Linked DNA regions of Alligator mississippiensis. The protein of the gene in region 4 interacts with the protein of the main gene of each other region in a pairwise test. Links are inferred from orthologs where the notes say so. Each region holds a gene or a part of one and is shown on either strand. Other genes may lie near its edges. The genes, in order: RGS17, VWC2L, COMP and OTX1.

Evidence for each region.
Region 1: the proteins of OTX1 (region 4) and RGS17 interact in binary tests that used the Homo sapiens proteins (3 or more experiments, as listed by UniProt). The two-hybrid records come from large-scale screens. The link is inferred for Alligator mississippiensis from reciprocal best matches to the Homo sapiens genes OTX1 and RGS17.
Region 2: the proteins of OTX1 (region 4) and VWC2L interact in binary tests that used the Homo sapiens proteins (3 or more experiments, as listed by UniProt). The two-hybrid records come from large-scale screens. The link is inferred for Alligator mississippiensis from reciprocal best matches to the Homo sapiens genes OTX1 and VWC2L.
Region 3: the proteins of OTX1 (region 4) and COMP interact in binary tests that used the Homo sapiens proteins (3 or more experiments, as listed by UniProt). The two-hybrid records come from large-scale screens. The link is inferred for Alligator mississippiensis from reciprocal best matches to the Homo sapiens genes OTX1 and COMP.

The regions. Positions count from the first base shown.
Region 1 is NC_081824.1:131,938,363-131,945,857, reverse strand, and holds the start of RGS17 (regulator of G-protein signaling 17), read left to right. Parts: upstream 1-4,487; 5' UTR 4,488-4,620; intron 4,621-7,495. UniProt on the Homo sapiens protein: Regulates G protein-coupled receptor signaling cascades, including signaling via muscarinic acetylcholine receptor CHRM2 and dopamine receptor DRD2.
Region 2 is NC_081827.1:180,462,050-180,468,941, reverse strand, and holds the start of VWC2L (von Willebrand factor C domain-containing protein 2-like), read right to left. Parts: upstream 3,014-6,892; 5' UTR 2,963-3,013; coding exon 2,552-2,962; intron 1-2,551.
Region 3 is NC_081839.1:1,283,351-1,291,154, reverse strand, and holds the start of COMP (cartilage oligomeric matrix protein), read left to right. Parts: upstream 1-4,800; 5' UTR 4,801-5,153; intron 5,154-6,176; 5' UTR 6,177-7,497; intron 7,498-7,645; 5' UTR 7,646-7,804. Other genes in the region: UPF1 (regulator of nonsense transcripts 1), read right to left, coding at 3,218-3,442. UniProt on the Homo sapiens protein: Plays a role in the structural integrity of cartilage via its interaction with other extracellular matrix proteins such as the collagens and fibronectin.
Region 4 is NC_081824.1:213,439,592-213,447,242, reverse strand, and holds the start of OTX1 (homeobox protein OTX1), read right to left. Parts: upstream 3,012-7,651; 5' UTR 2,928-3,011; coding exon 2,831-2,927; intron 2,726-2,830; coding exon 2,574-2,725; intron 1,239-2,573; coding exon 468-1,238; 3' UTR 1-467. Other genes in the region: EHBP1 (EH domain-binding protein 1), read right to left, coding at 7,386-7,476. UniProt on the Homo sapiens protein: Probably plays a role in the development of the brain and the sense organs. Can bind to the BCD target sequence (BTS): 5'-TCTAATCCC-3'.

The DNA.
Region 1 (7,495 bases), about 82 Mb from region 4:
GGATCATCCCTGACGAAACCATCCCAGCCAAGTGTCTGTCTAACCTGCTTTCGAAAATTTCCAGGGATGGAAATTCCACAACTTTTCCAGGTTGCCTGTTCCAATGGTCAACCACCTTCATAATCAGAAAGTTCTTCCTGATCTCCAACCTAAATGTCCTCTGCTGCAGCTTGAGGTTACTTCTCCTAGTTCTGTCCCCTACAGTCACAGAGAAAAGCCCATCTTCATCCTATCCATAATTGTCTTGCACGTATTTGAAGGGTGTTATCAAATCCATCCCCTCGCCCCGGGTCTTCTCTTCTCCGGACTAAATAACCCTAATTCTTATAGCCTTTTCTCATAAATCGTGTATTACAGACCTCTAATCTCTCTCTCTGTTGTTGTTGTTCTTCTGCTCTGCTGAACTCTTTCCAATCTGTCTACATCTTTCTTGAAGTGTGGAGCCCAAAACTGGACACAGTAATCCAGGAGAAGTCTCACCATTACCAAACAGAGTGGAAGAATCACTTCCCTTGATTTACAAGAGATGCTTCTGTTAATACAGTTTGGTACATTATTGGTTGTGGTTTTGTTGTTCCTAGTTTGTTTTTTGAAACAAGAGCACACTGTTGGTTCATACCGAGGTTATGGTGAACTGTAACTCTCAGGTCCTTTTCTGTGGTACTGCAGCCTAACCAATCATTCCTCAGTCTGTATTTGTGTATCTTAGACTTACCTTTCAGAGGATCCACCCAACCCAGTATCATCTGCAAATGTGCCAAGTGTGCACTCAGTCCAGTTGTCCAAATCACAAGTGGAATTTTACCCCATGGTTAGATTGGTATTGACTCCAGGGGGTCTCTACCTGGGATTTCTTGAGTGTATATTGACATTTTATACAAGCATGACATTGGCTGCCATGGTTCTCCTGCTTTACTTGTGGCAGGTTTGCGTGTTAAGTCTATGTTGTGTCAGGGTTGAGGGTAGTTTTATGTAGAGTTTAGATTATGATTATATGGGATGTTTTGGATAGGGATGATCCTGCCTCAGGCATGGGGTTAAGCTACATGATTTATAGAGGTCCCTTCCAGCCCTACTTCTCTAGGACACTATGTTTAATGATATGTGGCCCAGAGTCCTGGGGAACCCCACTTGATACCTTCTCCCAACTAGACATTGAGCCATTGATAGCTACTCATTGGATGCATCTACACATGTCAGTATGGTGACGTTGTTACTGTGCCATGATTTAGTATTTCCAAAAGGAAGTAACAGCCCATACTGCACCGTATGTACAGCGCATGCTTATTTTTAGCAGCTACTTTGCCGTAGCAGCATGCTATACTGGGGGAGCATGTCACTTTGGCAAAGTAGCTGTTGGTCATGTGTAGATACCTGCAGCTGCTACATCACCATAGCACATTGCTACTGTGACATAGTGTCATATGTAGATGCACCCAAAGAATAGAATATTCCAAGAGTGACTTGGATGAGGGCATGGAGAGCATCCTGTCCAAGTTCGCAGATAATACCAAGTTATAGGACAAAGTTAACACACCAGAGGGTAGGGAATGGATCCAGGCAGATCTGGACAGGTTGGAAAAATGGGAAGAATGAAATAGGAAACAGTTCAACAAAGACAAGTGCAAAGTGCTGCACCTGGGCAAAAAGAACCACCAACACTTACAGGCTAGGGGATGACCTTCTCAGCAGCACAGCAGCAGAAAGGGATCTTGGAGTCATAGTTGATTCCAAGATGAACATGAGTCGTTAATGTGACGAAGTGATGAACAAGGCTAACTACACTTTATCATGCATTAACAGGTGCATGACAAACAGGTTCATGGAGGTGATGCTTCCCCACTCTGCGGCACTGGTCAGGCCCCAGTTGGAGGCACTGCATCCAGTTTTGGGTGCCACACTCCAAGAGGGATGCGGAGAATCTTCAGAGGGTTCAGAGGAGAGCCACTCATGTGGTCAGAGGCCTGCAGGCAAGGAGAGACTGAGGGACCTAGATCTCTTCATCCTTCACAAGGGAAGGCTGGGAGGTGACTTTGTGGCTTCCTATAAATTCAGCAGGGGAGGGCAGCAGGGAATAGGAGATACTCTATTTACTAGGGCACCCCCTGGAGTAACTAGGAACAATGGCCACAAATTGCCCGAGAGCAGATTTAGGTTGGACATTAGAAAGAACTTCTTCACAGTAAGGGCTGCCAGAATCTGCAAAGGGGTTCCAAGGGAGGTGGTGCTCTCCTCTACCCTGAGGGTCTTCAAGAAGAGACTGGAGAAGCACCTACCTGGGGTCATCTGACCCCAGTGCTCTTTCTTGCCCAGGGCAGGGGGTTGGACTCAATGACCTACTGGGGTCCCTTCTGACCCTAACACCTATGAATCTATGAAACCAACCAGTTATGGATCCACCTTGCAGAGCATTCACCCAGTCTGCATCTTAGCTGATTCATTAGAATTTTGTACATCAAGGGTTAACTTTGAGGCCATTCCCGTTTGTAGTCATTATGAATGTGTTTACTGAACAAATAAGATGACCACCTTGGAATGTGGTCTATGTGGATGACATGGTCATTTGAGCTGAGAGTCTAGAGGAAGTGCAAGCTGTATTGGACCGATGGAGAGAAGTGCTAGAGGGAACAGAAATGAAGATTAGTCTATCCAAAATGGAATATATGCACTGTGATTTCTCTTAGGTACCTGATATGGGAAATGTGATAACTGATGAAAAACATGTTTGAAAAGTTGACAAGCTCAAGTAGCTGGGGTCAACCATTCAGCAGAATCCAGTTAGATGAAGAGCTGAATCATTGAATAAGGGCAGGGTGGACAAACTGGAAATTGGCAACAGGAATATTATGCAACAGAAGAGTATCAGTGAAGCTGAAGGGGAAAGTCTACAAGACATGTGTATCCAGCACAGAAACATGCCCCCTGAAGAAAGCTCAAGAAATAAGACTGAACATGACAGTATGGGTGAAAGGGATATGGCTTCAATCAATTATTTCTGACAACTGAAGTTGAGGTGGTACACGTGGAGGCCCTTGAGATTTCAGTCATCTGTGCTGCCCTTTTGTTATTTAAAAATGTAGACCAGATTTTCACATCTAGGTATACAACTCAAATACAGGCATTTAAAATTAGGCCCCAACATCCTTATTTAGGCATCTATGCAAACCAACTCTGGTGTCTGAAGTGCAGAGCAATGACTTTCATATGCTTAAGTTCTAATCACTAGGAATCTGTGGCGTCAGTGCCAGGATTCAAGGATAGAGTCCAAATGATTATAACTGTTGTTCTCTGATAATTGGATTTGGGGTTTGGAAAGAAAATACAAGTGATGCCCATGCTTTTAGGAGCATTAACTTTATGGGGCTGTTTCATTTCAGCTGTGGTAGAATCAGAACAGTTTTGGCCTCATTTTCTTGTAGTGCTATACCACCACAATTTATTGGGATCTCAGTTATTCTGGTGGAATAAGAGGTGCGGTGTGGATGTTAAATAGAAGGAAGATATCCAGTCAGCAGCATTCAGGTTCCAAATTAACATTTTTGCACCTTTCTCCTATTATGATGTGTTGAGAGCCAGATTGTTTTGGTTGACTAGTAGAAGCAACATCTGTTGTCTGTTTAGATGCTAGGATTCCTAGAATGGGAGTGGGATTCAACAAAATCCAGAAGCCAAACAAGTGTTTCTCCAAAATGGGTGCACCGAGGCATATCAGAGTCCAGATTTTTAAGGTGCAGTGGGTATAGTAAACATGTGCTCTATTTAGACAGTGGCAGCTGTGAAACTCAGGCAAAATAATTGGCAACATCGTCCAGGCTTCAGAAGCTATCGCCACATGTTTACACTCCTGCTTCAACTAGATGTGTTGCAGTCTGAAGCACCCACACTTCTCTGTGGAGCGTGGGTGGCCAAAACGGTGTCCAGGGGCTGGGTCCAGGTTTGGGCAGCATTTGCACTGAGGTGCATCAAGTTTGGGGCTGTTTTATGTGCGTGCAGCAAAAGCAACAGCTAGCCTTTCTTTCTCTATTTGCACAATGGGGGAGGGACAAAAATAGGTGGCACCCAGGTAGGGCCGAGCCTTTGCCTTTTCCAGTCGGGATGCATTCATCCATGATGCCCGTTTTCCATTTCAAAGACAGAGAGGGCAGCTGTCCTGACTCGCCCCTGGCATCTATTTAAAGAGAGAGGTTGGGAAACATCCCACTGATCCATCACGCATCACACCAGGTGTCTTCAAAAGCCATCCCTGTAATCCAGCCTGGCTCGTGCCCGCCGGATCCCACGGGGCTGGGACCAGCATCGCCCAGGCTGGACCCCTCCCGCCTGCACGGCTCAGCGGGAGCTCCCGGGGGCCGGGGCTGGGGCCGGGCCGTGAGTCACAGCCTGGGGACAAGCGGGGAAACTCCAGCTGCTCGGGGAGGCTCCAGCGCTAGTGGCAGAGCGCATGTGCGCCGCCTGCCTCTCCTCTCCTCTCCTCTCCTCCCTCCTTTCCTCTCTCTCTCTCCCTGCCGGCTGGGTGCTGAAGTTGGGCGGATGGCAGCAACCCAGCTCCGCTAGGACCAGCTGCACCAGCCTTTCCCTGGGATCGCTCCGTGCCAAGCGCGTGCGTCCAGGCGGGGCTGGGTAAGATGGACTGGGGCTGTTTGTTTGGTTTGGGGGGGGGGGGTTCTTTTTGTTTTGGGGGGGGTGGGGGGTGGATTTGAACCTGAACCTTGGGAAATGACACCAAAATGTCTGCTTGCTCCTGGTGCGGGGGGAAAAATAATAAATTAATAAATACAAGAGAGATGGGGAGCGGGGGGAGAGGGTAAGGGATGGAGGGCAGCTGCAGAAGCACTCACAGGGGGGACTGCCTTGGGTGTGTGTGTGTGTAAAAGGGGCAGTGAGCAATGGATCGGCGGCTGAGACTGCAAGTGTGTGTGTGTGTGTGTGTGTGTGTGTGTAAAAGGGGCAGCGAGCAACGGATCGGTGGGTGGGTATGGGGGGGGGGTGTGAGTGTGCCTGTCGCTCCCCTGCACGGATGCACAAAGGGGCTGGGTCCCGCGGCTCTGGCGGCGGCATCCTCCCCGGTGCCCGCGGGTGCTGGCGCTGGCGCTCCGCGGCGCGAGGGATCCCGGCGAGGGGCGGTGATGGCCGGGGGCTGCAATGTTACACCCGCCGGCTGGCACATCCTCAACCAAGGCTGCCTCTCGCCCTCCCGCATGCCCCCACAGCGGCTGCAGGCTTCGTGCTTGGGTCGGGGGGGGCGAGGAAAGCCATCCTGGCTTTCAAACGGCAAGGAGATAAGAGAGATGCCCCTTGCCTTTCCTCCACTGCCTCGCTTCCTTCCCCGCGCAGGGGGCCCGGGCTGCCTCCGGATCGCCCACCCCGGCGCCGGGGATCCGGGGCCGGGCGGGTCCCGGCCCTTCATTGTTAGCATCCAGCCGGCCGCGGCTCGAGCAGGGGGCCGGGAGGGGCCGGATCCGCGCCCCCGCCCCCGCCGGGAAGATGTCGGAGGCTGGCGGAGGCCGGCTGGCCGCCCCCGGCCCGGCTGGCAGGGAGGGAGGCATCCCCGCGAGCTGGGCAGCGGTGCCCGCCTTGCCCGCGGCCAGCGCCCCGCTCCCGGCACCTCCCGGAGCCCGCACTCCGCCTGGCAGGCAGGCGGGTTTCCTCCCAGGGAGGAGCTAGTTTCCCCTCTGATCCCTTCAACCCCGGGTTTCTTTTTTTTGCGAGAAATGCTGACCTCCCCCCTCCCTTGAGACGCAGATGGAAGGTCCTGCCTAGCCACCTTGGGCTCCTGCAGCGCGCCTCCCTCCTAATGCTCTGGCCCAGCTTATTCCAGCACTGGTGTAAGGGCGCTTTAGAGCTCAGAGTTGGGGCGTCCAGGACTTTGGAGGGATAATTCTCCCCCCTCCTCCCCATCCTAAAGAGTGTGGCCCCCATGTGTCACCAGCACAGACCGGTTTATTGAGAAGTATTTAGGTATCCAGCTCCTATTTATGTGCCTAACTCCCAGTGATTTTAATGGGAGTCCTTTGCCTGGACACCTTGTTGAGCCATGTCTAAGATCTTTCTGAGCAATGAAAATGTGGGCAAAAATATAAAATAACCTAAGTGAATATTGTGATTGTATCAGATGCCAACCCAATAGCTCCAGAGATTGTAGAAACAACATTTACGTTTTCATACATCAGTGCATCAGTCTTTACCTTTGATCTTTAGTGACCTCAGAGTTTTTCACTGTCAGGGAAAATGGATGAAACAGAAGAATAGGCTGCACTGGAGGAAAGCTGGGGAAGGGGAGTTAGCGACTGGCTATGGATGTTATAGCTAAGAAAAAAATAACCAGCGCTGTGCAGCTGCACCAAGTGAATTCCCGTGTATTTCCATGAATGCTAATGTTATTATAAGACTTAAGAAATGTTTAGGTGACTTCAATTCTTACCCATTGAAGTAAACAGAGAGGAATTACCCCTAAACACTGGTAAGAAACATCATCTTATATCTTTGAAGGTATTGTTTTGTTGTTGTTGAGATATCCCACCCTATCCAGAAAGACTCAGAGCAGCTTACAGATGAACAACCCAAAAGATAAGAAACAAAAATAAATTCCCCAGTGGACACCCTAAAACTTTAAAACTCTACCCTATACCACCCATACCCATTTCCTGCATATTACTCAGGTGAGCAAATCCTCTGGCCCATTGCAGCCATGCTTCCCAAGACCCATTCTCAATTAGGTGTACAGAAACTTTTTTCTTTTCCTCCCACTCCTTGCCTACCCAGAAGCATAACAAGCAGAGTTGGTGCCCTGGGCAAGCCCTGGGGGAGAGCTGGGGGGGGTCATGTAGTTTCTGAGAGAGGGGGCACAGGTTCAAGAGTGGGGACGTGGTTCGCAGAGCAGTCTTAACCATGCTGGGGACTCTTGGCTGAGCTGCTGCTGCCCCTACCTCCGCTCTTAAAACAGCAGCAGCTGGGAAATTTTTTGGCCCTGGGCAGAAAACAAGCAAGTGAGTGAACTGTGTGGCTGCTCTTGCTTCCAGGACATGGACTCTGCAGGGCTGGGGGTGATTTCTGTGCCTTTCTTAACTTTTTGCCTACTCTCCCACCCCTAGATATAATACTGCCTCCACATGCACATCTGCCCCTACTCCCCTGCCTTACATCCAGGGGAGATACCCTCTCCTTCAATGTTCCTATCAAGTCTACTCCCCCAGTCTATCATTACTTGACCAAATGAATATCCACAATGTGCACGGTACCATGCACACACACAAGAGTGTGCAGGCTCTGCCCCAAAGAGCTTATAATCTAAGTACTAAGTCCAGATCAACAGAGGTATTTAGGTATCTAACTCCTATTTATGTGACTAACTCCCAATGATTTTAATGGGAGTCCTTTGCCTGGACACCTTGTTGAGCCATGTCTAAGATCTTTCTGAGCAATGAAAATGGGAAAAACTATAAAATAAATAATGTAAGTGAATATTGTGATTGTATCAGATGCCAACCCAATTACT
Region 2 (6,892 bases), on a different chromosome or scaffold from region 4:
GCGCACATGGCACAGTATGGGCTGTTACTGTGCCATTTTTTAGTACTTTCAAAAGGAAGTACTAAATGACAATGCAGTAACAATGGTGCCACAGCAGCATATGTAGATGTGCCCACAGTGGGCTAAAAATAAGTTAGGAAAATGATTAAAATCCCAAACCTTCCACAATTATAATCCATTTTACTGTTCCAACTATCTTCTTAAGTTGTCCCAAAACTTTTCAGGATATAAGTCTACTTTGGGCACAAATCATGCATGTAACATTTGGTGAAGCTAATGAAGAACACATACACATATCCCCATATAAGAATCATACTTTAAGACCTCCAACTAATTCCTCAGCTGATGTCATATGTGACTATGCAGAGATCAGTATCTCTAGAGAAGATGATACTGGAAATTAGCTTTTAAAAAATGTAAACAGCAATGGAACAGTTCATGTGAAAGATGAAGGGTTCAATTGTATAAGTCCCCACAAAATGGTGAATCTAGTGTAATTACAATCAGCCAGTTTTTGAAGAGGAAGGAGGACTTGAGAAAGTCTTCCATCTCTGGCACAGCTTGACTATAAATGACACTAACTTGAGAAAGCCTGAAGATATTATAAATTTCACAGGAAACAGAAGAAGGCTAGGAGGCTGCAAAACTTATGAGCTCTAGGTATTCTGCTGTGGACATAACGGATGATATCCTTGCTCCATTTAAGCAGCAAACAACCACTGACTTCAGTGCATTGGGATTTCAGTCTATAAATCAGAAATTTCCCAGGTTCAGCACTTCTCTCTCCAGGCTCTCAGTTACAGAACTTTGGAAACTGTCTGCTCCCAGAGTCTCTCCCTTTCTCTCTGTTTCTGCATACATATCTATGCATATATATGTATATACACACATGATATTGCACTATGAGTAGAATATAACTCTAAAATTTATTCTAGGACTTCTCTATTTCAATATGGACAGAGTTTCACCATAACGTTCTTATAAACATGTTCCACTCTACTCCACATGGTGTATGCCCAGATTAAAGGCTTGATTAAAGGCTCCAGATTAAAGGCTTGATTGTGATTTAAATTAAATCTGGGGTCTTTTTATGGATGTACCTGGCTGAGGATTATTTAAGGTTGAGATGTTCCACAATCTGATGTGCTTTTCCTTCGCTAGGAAATCATTACAATGGTGCTGGAACTCTTCTTTTTATCAACTGCTCTATCTAAAAAAAAGGCCTCATGAAAGGTTCTAGTAAGAAACCCCTCATGAAAGGTTCATCTGAGGTTTTAGCAAAACAGGAAATTAAATTAATCTTATTCATTTTAAATGAAGGGTGTTTTTTTGGCTAAATCCCAAAATACCAGCCTGAAAAAGTACTCCTAGTGTTATTGCTTGTAAAATACTGATTAATCTTTTCAGTGAATAAAGATAAAAAACTTTTTTTGAAAGTTTTCCCTTTCTTATTTAATTTGTACAAACTCTGTAATAAAAAGATCCTCCTTAACAGTTTTCCATTGTATTGGGTATGGTCTAAGACTCAACCTGAATATGTCCTAGGTTATGTTAGCATATGTATTTGATCATGACCGAGGAATTAGATGGAATCCTCCGCCACCTATCAGCGAAGGGGTCATTCAAAGATTGGAACATGCTGTGTTCAAGGGTGATACTTGTGTTAGTAAGCTGGAAAAATTCTTCTGGGGGTGGCTACTAACGTTCCATTACATGAAAACATATCTCAGAATCATAAGCCTCATGTTCTTCTGAAACAGTGTTAGACAAAACGATCAGGTTATCTTTCAAGGGTATGTTTCTACTGTACTTTTATTTATTTTGTGAAAGAGACTGCTTCCTAAATATCCTGACTGAGGTTAGATATGAGTGAATGAGGAACCCCACATGCAAGAAATACCTAAATTATATACTATTTACAAGACGAATCAAAAGAAAACACTATTTGGGAAAAAAAAATCTATAAACTTGTATTACTTAAAGTTTGGAAACCACAAGGTCTTATGTGGAATTATTTCCATTGCCGGAAGAGAAAATAAGCTGGCAAGTATATAGGTATATAAATAGCTATGGTATTTTCCCATGAAGAGCTACAGGTTGTCCTTCAAAGAAAGTCTTCAACTTAATTGCAAAAGGATCACTGAATATTTTCAATATTCTTAATGGGAACTTGGCTATTAAAGTCATCATTGGACTTTATACTTTCTATTATTTTAAACAGTCATCTGCATAAAACAACACTATTAAGTTTAGTTTATCACCATTTAATCACAAAGAGCAATTCTAGGTTACTCCCTACTTTTGATGTGCTTGTGAATAGTAATCCTTCAAGTACTACACCAATACTTTTTGTTGCACAAGCTCAAATTTGATTTTTATTTAAATGCATTCAGTATAGGTTTGACTCTGCTGTTATTGAAGCCATTGGTAGTTTTACTATTGGCTTAAGGAGGAGCAGAGGTAAGCAAATATTGAGTACCTTGGAAAATCTCATCCCCGATCAGTTTGTATAACATGCTAGTATTAAATAACTCCCAAAGGTTGTTCATACCTTAAATTCCTCCAAGATTTTGTAATTTTTTCCATGATATTCACAAAAGTTTTTCACTTCCTTGCATTCCGGGCAGCATCCATTGTGTTCCACTTTAGTACATTTTGGGTGGATTTTGGGGCATTCTGGTTGATCACAAACAGGTCCATCCTCAGTACAGACACAAGGACAGTTGGAATGCCCTGGGAAAAAACGTTCTCCCAGTTTGTATACAAAACCACTGTCATCCACACAGCCTTTCCCTCGGTAGTCATCAAAGATCAGATTGTCATTACTTGAGGTCTGGTCCCCTTCATCAGCAGGGTAGTCTTCATGATTGATAGCAGCAGGGGTGACCAAGCCAGAGATTAATAACAGAAGTATGCAGGCTTCATGAATATGAAGAGCCATCCCCCTCCTCAACTTCTCCATATGATCCTATTATCAGTTATAAACGGCTGCTTCCATAGGGATACCAAAAAGCAGGGGCTGAAAATAGATATTTTAAATAAAGACAACTTGAATTATTAACAAATACATACTTGGTAAGGCCACGTGCTCAATCTGTATCTGTGGATAAAGCTTACTGCTTCCAATGCGCAGTGATAAGAAACACTGTTTCATTTTAAACAAATATCTTCTTTCAAGTTATTTTTAGGAGAATAAAGAACAGGAAATCTCTAAATGAAGCTAATAATTGTGTGTGTAAACACACACAAACACACAAACACACACATACATCCACAGATAACCTCCATTCAGGCTGGTTTACAGTATTAACTGGAAATGTCTGATATACAGGAAGTGGAATTATTTGCCTTAAATCACATGGTGAAAAGTTAGCTCAATGGGATTTGAACAAAGATTTATTATTGTTCCTATCCTTCTGAAGTAACCATGAAAACCAATAAGTACAACAATAATAATCTGAGTTGTAGCCAGGCATATGGTTTGAATAAGAAAGACAATGCTGAATTTTGTTTATTTTTAGAGACAGGTGGCCATAGTTTTAATTATAGTATTCCTGCAGAAAGAGCTAAAGTAGTTGGGCTAGGACCATAAGCATTATTGAGTATTACTTAGAAACTGACATTTTCAGGGAACAGTTTAAAAAAAAATTCTGAATAGGTGTTCATAGATAAATATTTAAAATGTTCCATGCATACAGTTATTATATTTGTCTCAAAGGCATAGGGCCAGTATTCATTCTAAAATGTCATACAGCTACATGGAATTCTTACACTTTTGGAAATGGAGAATTGTTCTTAAGTATTCAAGATACTGTTTTGAGAAAGAAGAAAAGACTACTGCTATTCACACCAAGAATAATCAGGTTAAAAAAAAAAGGCTCAGGATATATTTTCCTGGCACACAGTAAGCTATATTGTTTACCACATCTTTGTCCCTAAGTATACTTTCTTGGTTCTTTTCTATATACCTTTCAGAATCAGGAAGGAAAAAAGGTCTCTGTCCTGCTATAAGGTAAGTGGGCATGGACTGGCTGTCATACAGTCAAAAGTGTTTCAAGGAAACTTTTTTATCAGATGAAATATTAGTGCTGTATTTATTAGGAAGGAGGTATGTGGAGGCTGATAAAAACAACAAATAGAATAAACATGTGCCTGCATTTTTATATTTATATATATATATATATATATATATATATATATATATATATGTATGTGTGTGTGTGTGTGTGTGTGTCTGTGTGTCTGTGTCTGTGTGTCTGCGTGTATACACACACACATATACACACACACACATGCACACGTGCACACATGCATACAGAAATACAGATTTTGTCTTATTCCCCAAAAAGAAATATTTATTGTATATTGAGATTTTTGGCTGATGTTCAATATTTTGATTAAAGAAACAGTGTCAAAGACAAATGCATTAGGAGAAAGCTCTAATCATACAGGAGAAGCTAAGGGATTCTGTTGACAAGGCATTTTTTTCTAAGGCTGCAACAGAGGGAGACACCGGATATTACACAAGCTTTATCAAAAATCAAAAGATATTTTCTTAATTAAAGTTCTGTATAGCTTTTTATCACAAGGGTAATGTACTGTGATACTACCAACAATATCTTTTGTAACAGGGTGTTTAAAAAATGGGTGATGCTCAAAGATAAGTTTGCATTATGGATCTGGGGACTGTTGACTTGCTCACCTACAAGCTACAGGTAGGCATCAATTTTTCAGGCTTAGGTAAGTGAAAATTTAAGAAAAAATGGAACCAATAGAAGAGATTGATATTGAAGGTAATCAAAAATTATCCAATCATTTCCCTAAATCTACCCAACTTTAAAGGAAAGGCACCAAATAAAACCAAGTTCTATAAGAAGTAAAAATAAGTCAGTTATATGTTGTTATAGCCTGTGGTCATCTCAGATGTCCCTTGGCAACTTCAGAGACTCAGTTTAATGAACAGAATGGAAACTGAGCAGAATTCAGATCTACACTACAGAAAGATTTCAACAAGTAAACAAACCCTACACAGCTCAGAATTAGTTTACAACTGAACTTTTTATCATTTCTCATTAAAAGAGATGCTGGATAGTGTCTTACTCTGAGTAAAGGTCCCCCCTCCCCTCCACCCACCCCAGTGAATTATGCATACTTACCAAATCAGGCTCAGGGTGAAAGCTGGAGGGGGTCACAGGCCAACATGGACTAAAAGGTTAGAAATATATCAGTAAAAGCTGTTCGTCTTCATTACATTTTCAGTGATGAATCACGAACAATCCTTTTTCCTCCACCTCCCATTTGAAAACACAGGAAAACGGCAGCTCAGCAGCCAAGACATGAGAAATAAGCTTTAAGCCAGTGTTCAGAATTCAAAGCAAGCAGCAACAAGGAGGTCCAGAGGCAAGGCTGCCTTGTAACAATCCAGATCCAAACAGCACAATCATCGTGTCCAAGTTATTCTTTTTTTTTTTTTTTTTTTGGTTCAGGTCTTTGGATGCAATTTCCCTTCCCCAAACACAACTGATCCTTTCCACTCAGTGCTTGCAACAGCAAGCCGGCTGGTTATTTTGCTACGCTGTCGATACTATAAACGGCAAGAGCATGCTGAAGCTCAAAGCCAGCTCAGGCTGAAATGCAGTCAACACCATCACGATACGCTGCTTCGACAACCTCTCCCAACCCACGGGGGTATTTCTGATCTCAAGCACGGGAGTAACTTTCCCTTGCGTTCAGCACCGCGGACAGCGGCAGCCCGACAGGCGCTGCCTCGGAGCTCATTCTGCCGGCAGCCGGGATTCCTTCAGCACCACGGTCAGCGCCCCAGCCCAGCATCATGCATCACAGGGCGGCACACACGCCTCCTCGCAGTCCGCTCTTGGGCAAAGAAACTAAGAGCCCTCCAGAGCTTCTCTTGGGATCACTTATTTCCTTGGATACCATCCTAAGAGGGAAAGCGATTTCTAACCATACCTGAACATATTTCACATGCATCGGACCACATCCTCCCTCCCTCCCTCCCACCAGCCCATTTTAATTCTTAAGAGAACCTGCTCCAGATCAGACTGCAGGGCTAAGTTCCAGGAAGTGCCAGTATTTAGATTTAAGCTCTCTGCAGTTACTGAATGATGAGGCAAAAGATTACTGTCATGGCATCTCTCGCAAACTCTTGTTCATTCTTGCCCTGCCAGCATCCAAACCGTTTGCTGCATAAAAAATCCCATGTTGCTGCATTATTAAAACTTCACTTCTTGCCACGGGCTGGATTTGATGAAGAGAGAATAAAAAAAAAGTAGCCGAGCTCTTGTGTCTCTTGTTCTGTTACATTAAAAATCAATCTCCTTGCAATTCATCTAGTCTGTCATTAGGCGTCATTGTAAAGCTATTTCTCCTGAAACAACCAAATGAAAAATTCTTGATGTTCAAAAAAACACACTATCAATACAAAGGCAGAGAAATCTGGGATTTTATTTGGATAAAATAGACAATTATAATAATTTTGTGCAATTATGCCTACTGCAAACATTAACTGTGAAGACACTTAACTAAGTTGTCGCTGTCATGTCATCAAATCATTTCCATAAGGCTTTGAAACCAAGAGCATGTTAAAACAGGATTCTAGTTCTCAGGTCCAGAGTCGAACAGTGCCATCAGCACCTCCGGAAAGCAGGTGCTCTGCTTTGTGATCAAAAACAACACACTGCACATCATCTTCATGACCCACCAGGCTGGAAAGTTGCCCTGATTTGAGTTCCAGAACCTTAACAGTTCCATCGTTGCTTGCAAGGGCTATAACATGACCTGAAATTCAAAACAAAGTTATCGGAGTTTGAGGAGGCCAAATAAGAGAGCAATGTTTGCAGTTTCAGGTCTGATGGTATGCACAGCCACTTAG
Region 3 (7,804 bases), on a different chromosome or scaffold from region 4:
CTGAACGGCACTGCTCTCTCTGCTGAGAGAAAGTACCTGAAAGAGTCTCTAAACAGAAGTTTCTCCTGAGAGGAGAAGTTATTTTCCAAATCAATGATAAGAATAACATGGAAATTTTGTTCTCAATTTCTTCAAAAAGGCACTGCCTGTGCCAGTAGCTAGCAGTCCCTGGTAGCTGATGCATACACGGGCAAAAGCGTATTCACCTCCTGCCCTTCTGCTTAGGAGTTAGACAGCATGTTTAAAGCTGTGGAAAGGGAAACAGCTGCAAAACTCAATAGGTAAAATCCCAGGCCCATTGCTGGAAAAGAGTCCACTTCAGACTATGGGACTTGACTCTACCGGGTTGGACTAGATGACCTCTTCCAGCCCTACTTCTCCGTGATTACTACCGGGAATAATACCCATTCCAGCGCTGCCTGACTTAGCTGCAAGACAGGGTCGTATGCTGTCCCAGCACCAGCATTTGGGGATTTTTTAAGTAGCCAGAAGCATGTGCTAGGCCTCCAAGAAACAAAGAACATAAAATCTCTGTTTACAGGGATAAAGCAAGCGAGTCCAAACAGACAAGAAGGGGCGAAGAGGAAGGACAATGATAAAAGACAGTTTCAGCAGGATGTACAAAACCTTACACAACGAACACCTGAGCCGTATACAGCTAGACTGCACGGTGTGCTGTCAGCATTTCAGGCCGTGTGCTTTTAGAAGACTCACGTAGACAGGAAGCACGGCACCCTTTCCATCTGTTACCTTACCTTAGAGTACAAGCGCTTTTCTAAATGCCTGTCCACCCTCAGTGTCTTACGGGGCAGTGCATTTCAGAGTTCCCCGCTTTACAGACGGGAAAAGTGAGGCACAGAGTCCGAGTAACATGCCCATGATCACGTAAGAGATCTGGAGGCGCAAGAAACCAAACCCGAGTCTCCCACACTCCAGACTACAGCCCTATCCGGCTAGCCTCTGCCAAGCAGTTTTTCAACCAGTTGAGCATATTAGCAGTTGAGTTGAGCCGTGTCCCTCCTCTACAGTAGACTTTAAAAAACTTGTCAGTGGGCATATCAGCTAATGTGCCAAAAGCAGCTATTTTAAATCTCTGCCTGGAGAGGGCCCTGAAGAACATGAAAGGGAGAAGAGGAAGTAGGTGGTGAGAAACAGAGGTAAGACAGCTGCAGTTAGAAGATCAGGAGTGTAGCAGTGTGTGCAGAAAGGCTGATTTACATACAGGCTTTAGAAAAGGGCCGCATCAGCTGACCTGTGAAGAAAGAAACTGTATGGCCATCACTTTTGCACCACTGACCCCTTATTCCCTTGCTAGTGGGACACTAGTCGACTTCAACGCCTTTCAAAGTGCTCAGCTTAATGCCTGCCACAGGAAGAAAGCCCTCATGTGGGAAAGTGCCATTTCCTACACGGTCGCAAGTTGGGTCTGCTAACATGCACAAGTCTGGACAGATATGTACCGAAACTGCAAAGACAAAGCAAACGTGGTCTGAGATACACTATGGTTTATACTGCCTACAGAACAGCGAAAAAATATAGTCTTGGTAAAAAAAAAAAAGTGCTTTTCTTCATGCTTGTTTTGCCAGTTTTGAAAACTATTCAGCAGCTTGTTGATAAAACTCCAAAATAAGATCTTCCCTTGAGTGGGGGTAGATGATCCTCGCTACCTCAATATCTTCTTTACGTGTTCCTTTCAAAACAGGAAAATGCCTTTAGTGTTAATCCCGAGGCAGAGACTTTTAACACTGGTACGGCACTCAACCAGGAAAATCACGAGGCAGCGCCGCCAGATGTGAGCAAACCACCAAAGAAAATGTAGAAGTGGCGTGACAGCTCCTAGAAACTTATGACAGGACGATACACGGTACAAGCACGGTGCCCGCGTATGCTATGAAACTATGTCTATACACACAGGACAACACAACCCGGTTACACTCGCAGGCCTGGCACACGCGGGGTTTTGATGAGATCAAACCTGTGTACCGCTTGGAAAAAAAGTTTATTTTTTGCCCTACCAGACAAGCCGTCCTGTCACCGTGCGTGCTTTTCTGGCACCCGGGTTTGAATGCACGGATTTGACATCCAAATAAACGCACAAGAAAAAGACACAAAGGTGAACTGAGAAATCCCTGTCAAGACCCGAGTTCAGGGGCCTGGGTTTCTGCTACCGACACCAACAACTGCAGCTAAAACCAACGCAGGGACCTGCACTCCCACTTCTGCCTTTGATGCATTGGCAGCAGGAGCACAGTCCGAGCAAGAACGCAACCCAAAATGAAACGTACTTCACCTGCTAGAGCCGATTCTGGGCTTTACCAGCATTGCGATTCACTTTTAAAACTTGCATTTCAATGTCCCCACGGTTTGCAAACAGCTCGCTGCAGGGCAGCAGGACCCCACACGCACACGGGGATGGGCGGCCTGGATAAGACGCTGCGGCCCCGACGTATGAAACCGCCGTTTTTCTTTCTAATGCAATTTTCCAAGCGTCCGAGCCGCGCCGCCGAGGCAGCTGCGATCCTCAACGATTATATTTCCTTCTGCGGTGGTCCGACCCCAACTCAAATCCTCCCTCCTCTTCCTTCCCCAGCCCAGGCCGAAGCCCCAGGTAGCAGCAGACCCGCCGCGCCCCGGGGAAGAACATCACTCACGTTCCCGACTGACGTTGGGCCCTAAAGTCTCCCTTACTCACCTTTGACTCCTTCCCCACCTGTCCCTTTACCTTTTCTTTCCCTAATTCCTACCTATGTACGCGCTCTCACGGACGCTTTTAGCCTCTTCCGCTCCTCGAAGACGATCGCGCGCCGCGCAGACTCCCTACGCCGGACGAAGGGGGCTGCGCCCGCACGCTCGCAAAGACCTTTCCCCCCCCAGCTATTTCGCTGGTTTAATAAGAGAGCGGGGGAACGCGGTCCGGAGCCGTTTCCCGCTCCGTGGAAGACGGACGCTTGGTTTATATTGTCTTTGAAGGAACGAAGCTGCGGCGCGGTGTAGTTCTTGCCACAATAGTTTCTGCGTCTGCCCAAGGAACCGGCCCAGGCTGACACGCGAGCTGCTGCCCCGGCTTCTGGGGTCGGCGCTTTGGGGGTGCCGAGTCGTGCGTTTGGTGACACTTCTCGCCCGCTCGCCCGCCGGCGCTGGGCCGGCCCCAGCCCCACGGCTGCACTTCCCCGCCGCCCGCCGCCACGTGCTTGGGGAGAGGGATCCCCCGGCTCACCTGCGCCTCGATGGGCCCCGGCGGGCCCTGCCCCACGCCGGCCGCGCCCGGGCCCTGCCCCGGCCCCGGCTGCCCCGGCCCGGGCGGCGTCTGCGTCTGGCTGGGGAGGGTGAAGTCGGTGAACTCGAACTCGGAGCCCTGCGTGTCGGCGCCGAGCAGCTCGGCCTCCTCCGTGTCCAGGAAGGTGAGCGTCTGCGAGCTGGGGCCGTACGCCTCCACGCTCATGGCGGCGGCCGGCCGGGCCGGGCCGGGGCCCGCACCGCACCGCACCGCACCGCACCGCACCGCACAGCACCGCACGCCGCGCTTGGGCCCCGGGAGGCGGAGGCGGAGGGAGGCGGAGGCGGCGGGAACGGGAACAGGAACAGGCCGCGCGCGAGCCCCGCGACAAGGAGCCAACGGCCGCCGCGCGCCCGAGCCCAACCGTGCGGCCGCCGCGCGCCAGGCCCCGCCGTGACGACACACGCACGCCAGCGCCGACGCGGCGCGCCACGTACGCCGCGCCCGTGACGTAGCACGCACACCTGCGGGGGGAGGGCGGGGTCTAAGGCTCGCTGAGGGGAGGGGGGAGAAGCGCCGTTTGTCATTGCCCCTCAGTGAGGTGAAGGGAGGGAGGGGGTCTGTTATTGCCCCCTCAGTGACATGAAAGGAGGGAGGGGGTCTGTTATTGCCCCCTCAGTGGGGTGAAGGGAGGGAGGGGGTCTGTTATTGCTCCCTCAGTGACTGGGGGGGTCTGTTATTGCCCCCTCAGTGACATGAAAGGAGGGAGGGGGTCTGTTATTGCCCCCTCAGTGGGGTGAAGGGAGGGAGGGGGTCTGTTATTGCTCCCTCAGTGACTGGGGGGGTCTGTTATTGCCCCCTCAGTGGGGTGAAGGGAGGGAGGGGGGTCTGTTATTGCCCCCTCAGTGACTGGGGGGGTCTGTTATTGCCCCCTCAGTGGGGTGAAGGGAGGGAGGGGGTCTGTTATTGCCCCCTCAGTGACTGGGGGTCTGTTATTGCCCCCTCAGTGACATGAAAGGAGGGAGGGGGTCTGTTATTGCCCCCTCAGTGGGGTGAAGGGAGGGAGGGGGGTCTGTTATTGCCCCCTCAGTGACTGGGGGGGTCTGTTATTGCCCCCTCAGTGGGGTGAAGGGAGGGAGGGGGTCTGTTATTGCCCCCTCAGTGACTGGGGGGTCTGTTATTGCCCCCTCAGTGGGGTGAAGGGAGGGAGGGGGTCTGTTATTGCCCCGTCAGTAACTTGGGGGGGGTGTTATTGCCCCCTCAGTGATTGGGGGGGTCTGTTATTGCCCCCTCAGTGAGGTGAAGGGAGGGAGGGGGTCTGTTATTGCCCCTCAGTGACTGGGGGGGGGGGTCTTCCGGTGCCCCCCAGCGAGGGCTGTGTCCCTGCAGGGGTGGGGCGGGCAGGCGGGGCTCCCGTGGCAGTAGCACTGCGCAGAGGTGTGAGCCCCGGCCCTGTGGGGACAGGCGGGGGGTCCTGGGAGTTAACCTGCATCAGAGGAGACGGGGCACAGCCATGCGAGCGTCGCAGGGGACGGGACGGGACGGGACGGGACAGGGCGAGTGGGTTGCACCCGGGGCATGAGAGCAGCGTCCGACTGAGGTGTGTCCGAGAGCCCCGAGCGCGGCTGTGAGACCTCCAGTGCCGGTTGGTGAGCGTTCGCCGGGGATGGTGCAGACAGGCCCAGACGATCCCAAACGGCGCCAGGTGGCCCTTGAGAGCTCTTCCAGCCTTATTTTTCAGTGGTTTGTGGTTATCAGGCTGTCGCTAGAGAAGAAATCTCTGTACCTGTTTCCTTTAGGACAGGGTTCTTAACCTTTTTAGACTCAACCCACCCCCGTTAGACTCAAAGCCGCCCTCGGATAATGCTAGCTTAGTTCTCGCTCCTTTTTTGACTGCAATTTTTCCGTTGCAAAGAACTCCAGAAGATGGCAACAGGTGAGAGTGTTTTTAGCGCTATGGACTCCTATTTGGATTGTCTGGGTTTATCATGAGAGTCGTGTTTGCACACCTAACAGTACTAGCATTGTGTGGCACCCTTGAAAGGATCTCGGAGCACCCCAGGGTGCCATTGTACCCTGGTTGAGACTCACTGCTGCAGGGGTGCAAGATTTTCCACCTTCCCTTTCTTATCAAGACTTTGTATCCAGAGTGGATGAATGCTGTATCCGTGCATTGGCTGCCTACCTGCCCTTGTTTGCAATAGACTGATCACATCCCCGTGTCCAGGTTACATGTCAAAAGCCACCTTGCCCACTTGACGTGGGGTCCAAATGGCTAGAGCAGGACACTGGGATTGAGGGCTCCCTGAATCTGTTCCCACATCACTAGGAGAGTGTGGTGTAGTGGTTAACCAGGAGTTTGGGAAGTACAACTCCTGGGTTAATTTCCTCTTTTCCTCCCTCAGTTTCTTATCTGTAAATTAGAAATAAAAATACCCATTTCACACTAAAATGTAAAGATTAATTAATCATTGTAAATCATTTTGAGACATATGGGGATTGAGGAGTATCAAGTACTAATTGGAAATTTGGCTGTGATTGAGAATGATCAAGTTTTGTTACTGTTTACTGTGCTATTTGCACATTTGGCAAACAGTTGCACAAGAGGGTCTGTAACTGGATATGCTGTAGAAATTGAGCTCTCTGCTCATCTTCAGAAATGGTCCTGCCAGGTCCAAGCTGAGGGACATTTGAGAAGATGCATGGGAATTCTGTGAAGACACGGAGGACTTTGGTTTTGGGTGTTTTCATCCCATTGCCTTTTACTAGTTCAAAATTCAGAGCTGTTCTAAACTAACTTCTTCAAGTTGGTTGTGGCAAAATGAAATGGAAAGCTGGAGATGGTCATTCTCCCCCCCCCCCCCCAAAAAAAAAAAAAAAAGTGATTTCACAGCTACTGAAGATGGGTATATATTTCCTTCAACACATAGCCTTTATTTTGTCCCTGTTTTCCCTGTAGAATGAATCCCAGGAACAGACGCGCAGGCATGCAACGGTCCACTAGAAGCATTGATGTAGAATGGAAAATTGCACCTTCTATTTTCTGAAGCTTCCTCCTCGTTGGACTATCCTATACCAATCATATGTAGAAAAAAAAAAGTAGAGAAGCTGAGAGGGCTAATATTTCTATATACACATTGTTTGATTTCACCTTTAGTTCTGAGTGCCCTTGAAGAAGCGGAGTATGCTCTAGGCCTAATGTAAAATTGTCCACATTTACAGTTGTGACCTAGTAGCTAGCACCTTGCCCTCCACTATGGGCAGTTCTTGGTCTTCCTAACTAGCTTTCCAGGACTGTGATCCACATATAAATATGTAAATGTTCCTTGAATAGACAAATCTATCTGGTTGATGATAAAAGAACTGCCCCTTAATCCAGTTTTATCAAGTGATATTATTTAGCATCTAAGGGCAACTTGGGGCCTATTTACCAGTGAGCCATGAGAGGAATCGGCTAAACCTGGAACCTTAAATTGGAGAAAACTTGCTTATGAATTATATATCCCTTAATACCCCTTTATACAGTCTTGTCACTGACTTCTTTAATGAAGGGGAGGATTAATAAGGAGTTCTTAAATCTGCCAGTTATCCAAGGGAATCCCCACTCGTGGAAACAGAGCCGGAACACTAAAGTAGGTTAGTGAAGTGAACCATTAAGGGCAAGAATGGAAAGCTGACTGTGATCACAGCCCCTGCCGCTATCCTGTGCCAGGGCACAAGTCTAAGTCATTCCACAGAGCTTCCACAGCTCAACAGTAGTTACAGCCCACCTGAATTAATCTGCAAGTGTTTGTGTGATAAATAGAAAATCAAGTGAAGAGTTATTTTCAGTTATCCTCAAAGGTATCTTCTTTTGTCTTAATATTCTCATTATTTTTAGTGTCCCATGGAAAAAAACCTTATAAAATGAGATCATTGGGTCCAGTGTCACGGTACTTTCTGTTTTGTTGGCTGTCATGAAAGAGTTCTTGGGAAGGAGACTCCCCGGCCCTGAGCCTTACACCGCTTCTCTAAAATTTACAGTTTCCCTATTCTGCAAAAGCAAGGAACAAATCAATCTTGATCTGTGTATCAGTAATAGTAGGAGGATAATTATCTGGGTCCTCAGAGTCCTCCTATCTTATAACCATCTCAGTCACGAAGCTCTGGATGATGTTAGCAAGAATGAAACATGAAAGCTCAGTCATAAACTTTGAAGCATCTTCACTGAAGACAGGTTTGTGGAAGACTGCATACATATGTGGGCCCAAGGATGGTGCAAGTCGGTGACATCTGAGCAGGTAGGTAAAACTGATCTATGAAAATGTGTCTCAGCCAGTTTAGAGCTGTGAACAAAAGTCCTGCTCTCTGTGGAGCCAACTCTAGGCTTATCATAAGGAACTTTCCCACCACGTTGACCTTGTGTTGTTGGGTTTTTTTGTTTTTAAGGATTTTATTCTGGTGAAAGGCATGAGTCCAAGAGCAGTAAAAGAATGAAACACCATGTATCCACAACATGCAGAACATGGGCAGTTGCAAGTGCAGGCTTCTTCCATGCTCTCTCCTTGGAATGCACCTCAGCTGCTTTCTGAAGAAAGCCCCTTTACA
Region 4 (7,651 bases):
GGGGAGGGGAGGGGAGGGGAGGGGAGGGGAGGCCGCACATGCCCGCGCCCCGCGCACGGAGGCCTGTTCCCGCCGGGGGAGGGGGCGGGGGACGGGGACCGGGGACACAGAAGCGGGGCGGGGCGGGGCGGCGGCACGGGGGCATCACTAAACGCACTAGACAACGGGGCCCGCGGGCACGGGACTGGCGGGCCGGCTTTGCTTTTATTTTATCTTTTTTTTTTGCCTTTTTTCGTTTTGATTTTTTTTTGTTTTGTTTTTCGTTTGTGTGGTTTTGCCTTTCCTTTTCCCCTTGGCCCCGTCCCCGGGAGGGGGGGGCCCGCTCCGCCTCGGCGCCTGGTCCGCAGTCCGGGGCCCGCGCCCAGCCCCTGCCGTCCAGCGCGCGGGGCCGCCCCGCCGCGGGGCCAATAAATAAGAGTCGGTGCGGGGCAGGGCGGCGCGGGGCCGGGCGGGCGGAGGCCGGGGCCCTACAGCACCTGGAAGCGCCAGGACGCCTGGTCCTTGTAGTCCAGGCAGTCGGGGGAGTTGAAGTTGAGTTTCCAGGAGGCGGCGGCGGCGCCGGGCTCCTTGTAGTCCAGGCAGTCGGAGGAGTTGAAGGCCAGCCCCGCGCTGCCGTAGCCCTGGTGGTGGTGGTGGTGGTGGTGGTGGTGGTGGCCCGAGCTCTGGCTCAGCGGGTGGTGGTGGTGGCCGGGCATGGAGGATGGGCCCATGGGGCTGAGTTGGTGCGGGTGGTGGTGCGAGTGCATGGGCGCCAGGTAGGAGCTGCAATCCACGCCGCCGAAGTAGGAGGAGGAGGGCGGCGCGGGGTAGCCCTGCCCGTAGCCGCCGCCCTGGCCGTACGACATGGGGTAGGAGGCGGACGAGGCGCCGGGCACGGAGCGCTGCATGCACGAGGCGCTGCTGGGCGGCAGCGGCTCCGGCACCGACACGGCCACGGCCGAGGGCGCCGCGCCCGGGGAGATGGACGCCGGGCTCCAGATGGACGAGGCGGGCGTGCTCAGCGCCGCCGCCGCCGGGTTGCCCAGCGCCGCCGCCGCCGCCGCGGGGCCCGAGGAGTTGGAGCTGGACGAGGAGGACGAGGCGGAGCTGGAGGCGGCGGGCGGCGTGAACTGGCCGCTGCTCTCCGAGCCCGAGCTCTCCCGCGCCGGCGACGACTTCTTCTTGGCCGGCCGGGCCTTGGCGCCGCCGCCGCTCTGCTGCTGCTGCCGGCACTTGGCCCGCCGGTTCTTGAACCACACCTGCGGGGAGCGCGCGTCAGCTCGGCTCGGCCCCGGGCAGCACCCACGCCCAGCCGTCACCACCCGCACCCAGCCCGCACACCCCAGCCTCCGCTGTCGTGCCAACCCTGCCGGCTCCCAGCACCCTGTTCCCCCGGGCCTCGTGGCACCAGGCATGAAGGCCGGTGCCCCCCACAAGCACTCCCCTCCGTACGCGCGCTCCTGCCAGCAGAAAGTGGCCGCCGCCCTGGGCAGCCCCCCGCTGCACGTCTGTCGGCTGCTACCCGGCCCCGACAGGCCCACCACCTTTCAGCTCCTCTGCCCCTCCGTGCCCCTTCCAGCAAAGCTCTGCTCTGCACCAGGCCCACCCTGGCCTGGAAGAACAGGCCTGCTAGGCACACAGCCCCATCCTCCAGCAGGGCACTGGGCCCCCAGCCCACAAGACATGCCAAAAGCCTTAGCACAGGGCACCACGCTGAGCCCACTGCAGTCTTTCCGGGAACAGGGGATCCTGCGCCCAGTTTCCCCCGCCACTCCAGCAGCGGGCCAGCCCTGTGCCCACACGGCCCTGGCCCCTCACCCGCTCCATGCTACAGCACCCTACGCTCACCCAGCCCCGCACCTGCTCCCGGCTTGTCCTCACTACAGCACCCAGCTGGCTCTCCCCAGGAACAGTCATGCCAAGCTACTTCCCCTTTTCCTGAAATACCCCTCTAGGAAGAGGGGCCTGGTGTGCTCAGCACAGCACCCATGGCAGGGAGGAACCACGGAGAGATCAGCACCCAGCTTCCAGCATCTAAAGCAGCACCCTTCACCCTAGCTCTCCCTTCTCCAAAGGAGGAAAAGGGAAACTGGCCCCACAGCTACTGCCCCAGCACAGCACCCAGCTTTGCTACCCATCCAGCTCCTGCTGCCCTGGCAGAGGAAATCCCACCCTCCTCTCCCGCAGCATAGGCCCTCTGCCCCCACCGCACCCGGCTCTTGCAGCCCCCAGCCGAGAGGGTGCTGGTCACAAAGCTGCTTCACTCCCGCCCTGGAAGAAGGGTGCCCAGGGAGTGCTCGCGGCTGCCAGGGGAAGGGGCATGGGGGAGGCCTGCGCAGAGGCTGCAGTGGCTACTACCACACAGGCCCGCCAGGCAGGAGCACGAAGGCCCGTGCCAGGCAGGCAGGATGCGCCACAGGCAGCCTGGTCGGCCCCGCACGCCGCACTGCCCTGCCGTGCCTCAGAGGTGGGGCGGCTCCGGCCCGGCTGCCAGGGGATGCTGCGCTCCCGGCGAAGGCGGGGCCCAGGCGGCAGAGCCCCGCACGTCGCGGCCCTTCCCGGGGGCCGCAGCCCGCGCCCGCCCCGCAGCACACCTGGACGCGGGACTCGGGCAGGTTGATCTTGAGCGCCACCTCCTCGCGCATGAAGATGTCCGGGTAGCGGGTCTTGGCGAAAAGCGCCTCCAGCACGTCCAGCTGCGAGCGGGTGAAGGTGGTGCGCTCCCGCCGCTGCTTCCGCGGGGTGGCTGCGGGCCGGGGACACACACGGAGGTCAGAGGCGGGCCCGGGGCGGTGGGCCCCTACGGCGCGGCCCCAGCGCCCGCCCCAGCCCCAGCCCCCGCGCCGCTCACCGGGGTAGCCCACGGAGGGGTGCAGCAGGTCCATGGCGGGCCCCGCCAGCCCCAGCCCGTTCATGCCGTACGGGGGCTGTTTGAGGTAAGACATCATGCTAGAGGCTGGCGGCGGCCCCGCGGCTCGGGTGGCGACGGGGCGGGCTCGGCTCGGCTCGGCTCGGCTCGGCTCGGCTCCGGGCGGCTCCGCGCCAGCTGCGGGGACACACACACACGCATGCACGGACCGGCATCGGGCGGCGAGGGGCGCGCGGGGCAGCGCCCGGCTGTGCCGAGCGGGGCGGTGCTGGCCGGGCGCGGGGCGCTGCGGGAGCCCGTCCCGACGGCCGAGCGCAGCGAGGGCTGAGCCCGCACCGCGCTGCGAGAGCTCCGCCGCCAGAGTTTGGGCTTGCCCGCGGGAGGGAGGGAGGGAGCGAGGGAGAGTGCGTGTGTGTCAAGGTGTGTGCGCGTGTCAGGGCGTGTGTGTGTGCTGGGGGAGTCGTTTCCCTACTGCCGAGACCTGACCGGAGTTGCACTCGCAGAGACCTTGCGAGGAGAGACAACTCGACAGGGAGTTCGGGCTCGTCAGCGGGAGAGAAACAGAGAGAGAGAGAAATTACCTACCTACGTGTATATACCTACCTGTATGTGTGTGTACCTACCCGTGTGTGCGTGCCTATGTAAGGATGTGCGTGTGTGCGTGTCGGGGGGGGGGGGGGGAGCGCCCTTCCCTGCTGCTCAGTCCAGGGCTCCTCCTGGCTGGAGCTGGAGCTGGAGGGAGCCGTGTCCCCACGGGGACACCCCTAGGATAACTCCGCCGGGGCTTGTCAAGTGTGTGAGAGAGAGGCAGAAAGTTTACGCTTGTCACAAATGCGTGCGTGTGCAAGTGCGGGTGCCCGTGAGCTTGCGCAGAGGGGTGCGCGGATGCGGGGCCCAGGCCCGTACAAGGAGGCGGCGGGGGCCCGGCGCGGGTAGAGGCCCGGCGCCAGGCCGGGGAGGCAGCGCGGCCTGGAGGCTGCGGCCGCGGGGCTCGGGGAGGGACGGAAAGTTTCCCCCAAGTGTCCGGGCCTCCTGCGAGGCGCCAGGCCGGGCCCGGCGGTGCCTGTCCTGCCAAGGGGCCCGTCCGTCCCGCCCGTCGGGGGCAGGCCAGGCAGGCCCGCAGGCGGGCAGCGGGGAGTCGAGCGGGCCGCCAGTTCGCCCACCCGTCGGGCCCCGGCCCCGCTCACCTGCTGCTCGGCGGGTCCCGCGGCCCCCGCTCGCCGCCCGCCGCTCTGCTCTGCACGGCCCGCGCCCGCGCCGCCAAGTGGCCCGGGCCGCCCACGGGGGTGGGGGCAGCCTGGCGGGGCCGCCCGCGCCCCGAGGCAGCGGCCGCACCGGGTCGGGCCGGGGCACACGCAGGTGCGGGTTATGCAAGCGGCTCGGGCGGGCGGGACGCGGGGGCGGCGTGGGGCCCCGGACCCGCCTCTCCCGCCGCTCGCAAAGTCCTGTGCGGCGGGGGGCAAAAGCAACCACAACGAAAGCCGCCGCCCCGCCCCGCCCGGGGGCCCGCGGCCGCCCCGCCGGGTCCCGGCCCGGCCCGTCCCGTCCTCCCTTACCTGCGCGGGGCGCGGGCCCTGCAGGGGAAGCAGCGCGCGGGATAGCGGCGGGCTCGGCGTGGGCGCGCGGTGCGGGGGCCCCGTCGAGGCCGGCACGGAGCCAGCGCCTTACCTGGAGGCGGCGGCGGGCGGGAGGCGGCGGCGCGGGGCGCGGGGCGCCCGGAACGTAGCCTGATGAAGATTGATCACCTTTCCACCGCCCTTGCCTTGTATGTGAGCGCAGGCGAGTGCGTAACCGCCCCGGCGCCAATCCCCGGCCGCCCCGCTCTGACTGACAGCCGCCCGGGCAATGGCAGCGCGGGGCGCGGGCTCCTCCGCACCCCCCCGCTCCCTCTCCTGCTCCTGCTCCGGCTCCTGCTCCTGCTGCTGCTCCACCCCGGCCGGCGCGGCCCGGCCCGGCCCGCCAGCGCGCCCACTCCCGCGGCTCCCCCGGGGCGGCCCCGGCGCGGCGGGAGGTGGGACGGGGCGGGGCGGGGCGGCCGGGGGGCGGGAGCAGGACTTTCCCGGCCCGAGCCCACCTGGTGCCGGGACAACTTCCAGCCACTTGGCAGCAGCCCCAGGGCTCGTCCCGCACCCCCGCGTGCGGCCCCGCAGGGAGCAGCCGTCCGCGCCGTCGGGGCTGCGGGTTTGGCGGGCGGCCCCCTAGCCCTGCCCGAGGGCCAGGGGTGGCGGGGGCCCTGCACCCCGGCCCGCCGCCCCGGGCCCCGCCACCCGCTGGATTTCGTTAGCGGCGCTTGGGCTTCCCCTGCCCCACGGCCGCCTGCCCGCCCGCCCTGTCCTGCCCTGCCCCGTCCCTCTCGTGCGGTCACGTCCAGGCCTGTCACGGCCGCGCTGCCGCTGTGAGGCGGGCAGGGGACAGGAGCCCGCGGGGGACGGGAGGGGACAACCCCGTCCAGGGCCCGCAGCTCTTCCTCTCCCCGGGCCCCGGCGGGCGCGGGGCTTTTGTTGCCGTCCCCGAGCCGGCTGGTCCCGGGGGAAGCGGCGCTGAAAGCGAGCTAATGGTGCGGCCCCGCGGCCCCCTGTCCCTGCGGGCGGCGGGGGCCGCGCATCAAAAGCCGCGGGGGGGGGGCAGGCCAGTCTATGGTGCGCGGGCTCCTCCGCACAAAGGCGCCGCGGCCCATTCACAAAAAGTGAAGGACTGAGGCGGCGGCGCGGCCCGAGCCCCGGGGGCGCTGTGAGGGCGGGAGGGGGCCGGGGCCCCCCGGGCCGCTGCCCCGCGCCCTGGCCAGCCCGGAGGGATCAGGTAGCACAGCGCCCCCAGCCCCTCCGCTCCCCTCCCGCCGCTTGCTTTGCTCGCAGGAGCGTGTCGCCGGGCCCAGGCTCGCCGGCGGCGGAGCGCGGGGAGGCCCCGTCGGGGCAGGGCCAGCGCGGCCCCGCGCCCCCGCCCCGCGCGCAGGTAAGGCTCCCACCACCTCTGCTGGCTCCGCGGCTCGGCCCCCGCGCCAGCCCCGCCGCCGTCGGGCCCCTGCCCCTGCTCCGGGCCTCTTCGCGCCGCCACTGAGGCGCGTTGAGCCGGGGCCGGGGCCGCCCCGCAGCCCTCCCGCGGCTGCGGGCTGGGGCAGAGCGCGGGGCCGGGCAGCGAGAGCCGAGTTGCCCCTTTGGCCCCCGCGCGGCAGCTCGGACTTGAGGCCAGGACCGGCCACTGCCTCTGGTGCCCAGGGTAGGGCCCGGCCCGCCGCACGGGCAGGACTGGGACCAGGCGGCACCCGGGCAAGTTTTAGGAAAGAAACAGGCTGCGGGATGGCTGCTGCCGGCTCGGAGCTGCCGCGCCGGCTCTTCCGTGTGGAGACCACCTCGGTTTTTTTTACATTCACTTTTAAGACTCCGAGAAGCTCCCCCCACCTCCCCCCCAGCCAGCCGAGGTAAGGAACTTTTCCTGCTGTAAAAGACAGGGAAGCAGCCGTTACGGTAAGAAAGATTCGGCTTTTATTGAAAATTTATATATGACTCAGTATTGTAATAAATAAACAGGTAACAGTTTTCACCAAAAAAAGAAAAAAAAGAAAAGAAAAAGAGCACGAGGCTAGAGAGGGGGACTTGAAGTGGGAAGGGATTTGCACACAAGGGCGAGACAGACTTTGGTGGGTACAGAATAAATATTAACAGCATTCTGGACCCCATGCAGAGATCCAAAACGGAGAAGGGAACGAAACTGTAATAAATAATTATTAAAACAAAAAAAAATTGCGTAGCCTTTAATGAAAGAAAATTTCTGTAAACTGACGCACTTCAGTTGCCCCCGCTGCGCAGCACATCTCCAGAGCACAAAGCTTTTTTTTTGTTGTTGTTTTGTTTTTTTTGCAAACTGCATGTAAAGAACCGGTCTCTGAGCAAATCAGACAGTCTCAATTTAGGTTACACTTAACAATAAAATGTGAAACTGCTGCTGAAATAAAACACTGGTAAATATAGCACATTTTAATAACTGGATTGAATCGGACCTAACTATAAAAATGTAGGTAGCTTATTAAATATTACGTATGGCAGGACTAGATGAAACCATTTAGCGTGATTTTTATTTTGTTTCCCCCCTCTATAATCCTATTATGACAAAAACTTACTTATTTCAAATCTCATTCCTTCTCCAGTAAAGAAATCATGATAGACTTCCCCCCCTACCCCCACCACCCCCCAAGACATCTCTGATATTACCATCACAACAATGTTTCTGTGCAAATCTATGGAACAGAATTTCAACAATATGACTAAGCTCACAAGTAAAACATGGTACAAAGCTAGTTTGCTCAAATGGAAACCCACCCACCCACCAAACCCCTCCACCCCCCACCCCCCCAAAAAACAAAAACAAACCAACCCCAAACTCAAAAAACAATGCAGTTATAGAGCTGGCCTAACCAAATGGAAAAAGTTTAAAATTTTTCAAAACATTGTTTTTTCTTTTCAGTCTTGTGTCAGTATTTTAAAAATGTAAGAAAGGGCTCGACTGCAAAATGCAACTGCATCTGCTCCAAGAAGGCCAGTCACTGAAGGACACATTTCTCTTCTTTCTTGGCCATCTTGCCTTTGTTTTGTTCAAGAGTCCTTTCCAAATGTTCATCTTCTTCCTCAGCCCTGAAACAAACACAAGGCACAATTATTACTGTCCATTTTCTGTTCAGGCGACGTAGTCAAGACACTACCTTACACCTTGGAGTCTCTAGGCAGGGCTAATTTGCCAAAGGAACTCCAATCTGGGATACCCTTCTTAGAGCTAGATGTGAAAGCACCATTCGGGTTGAGGATCTGG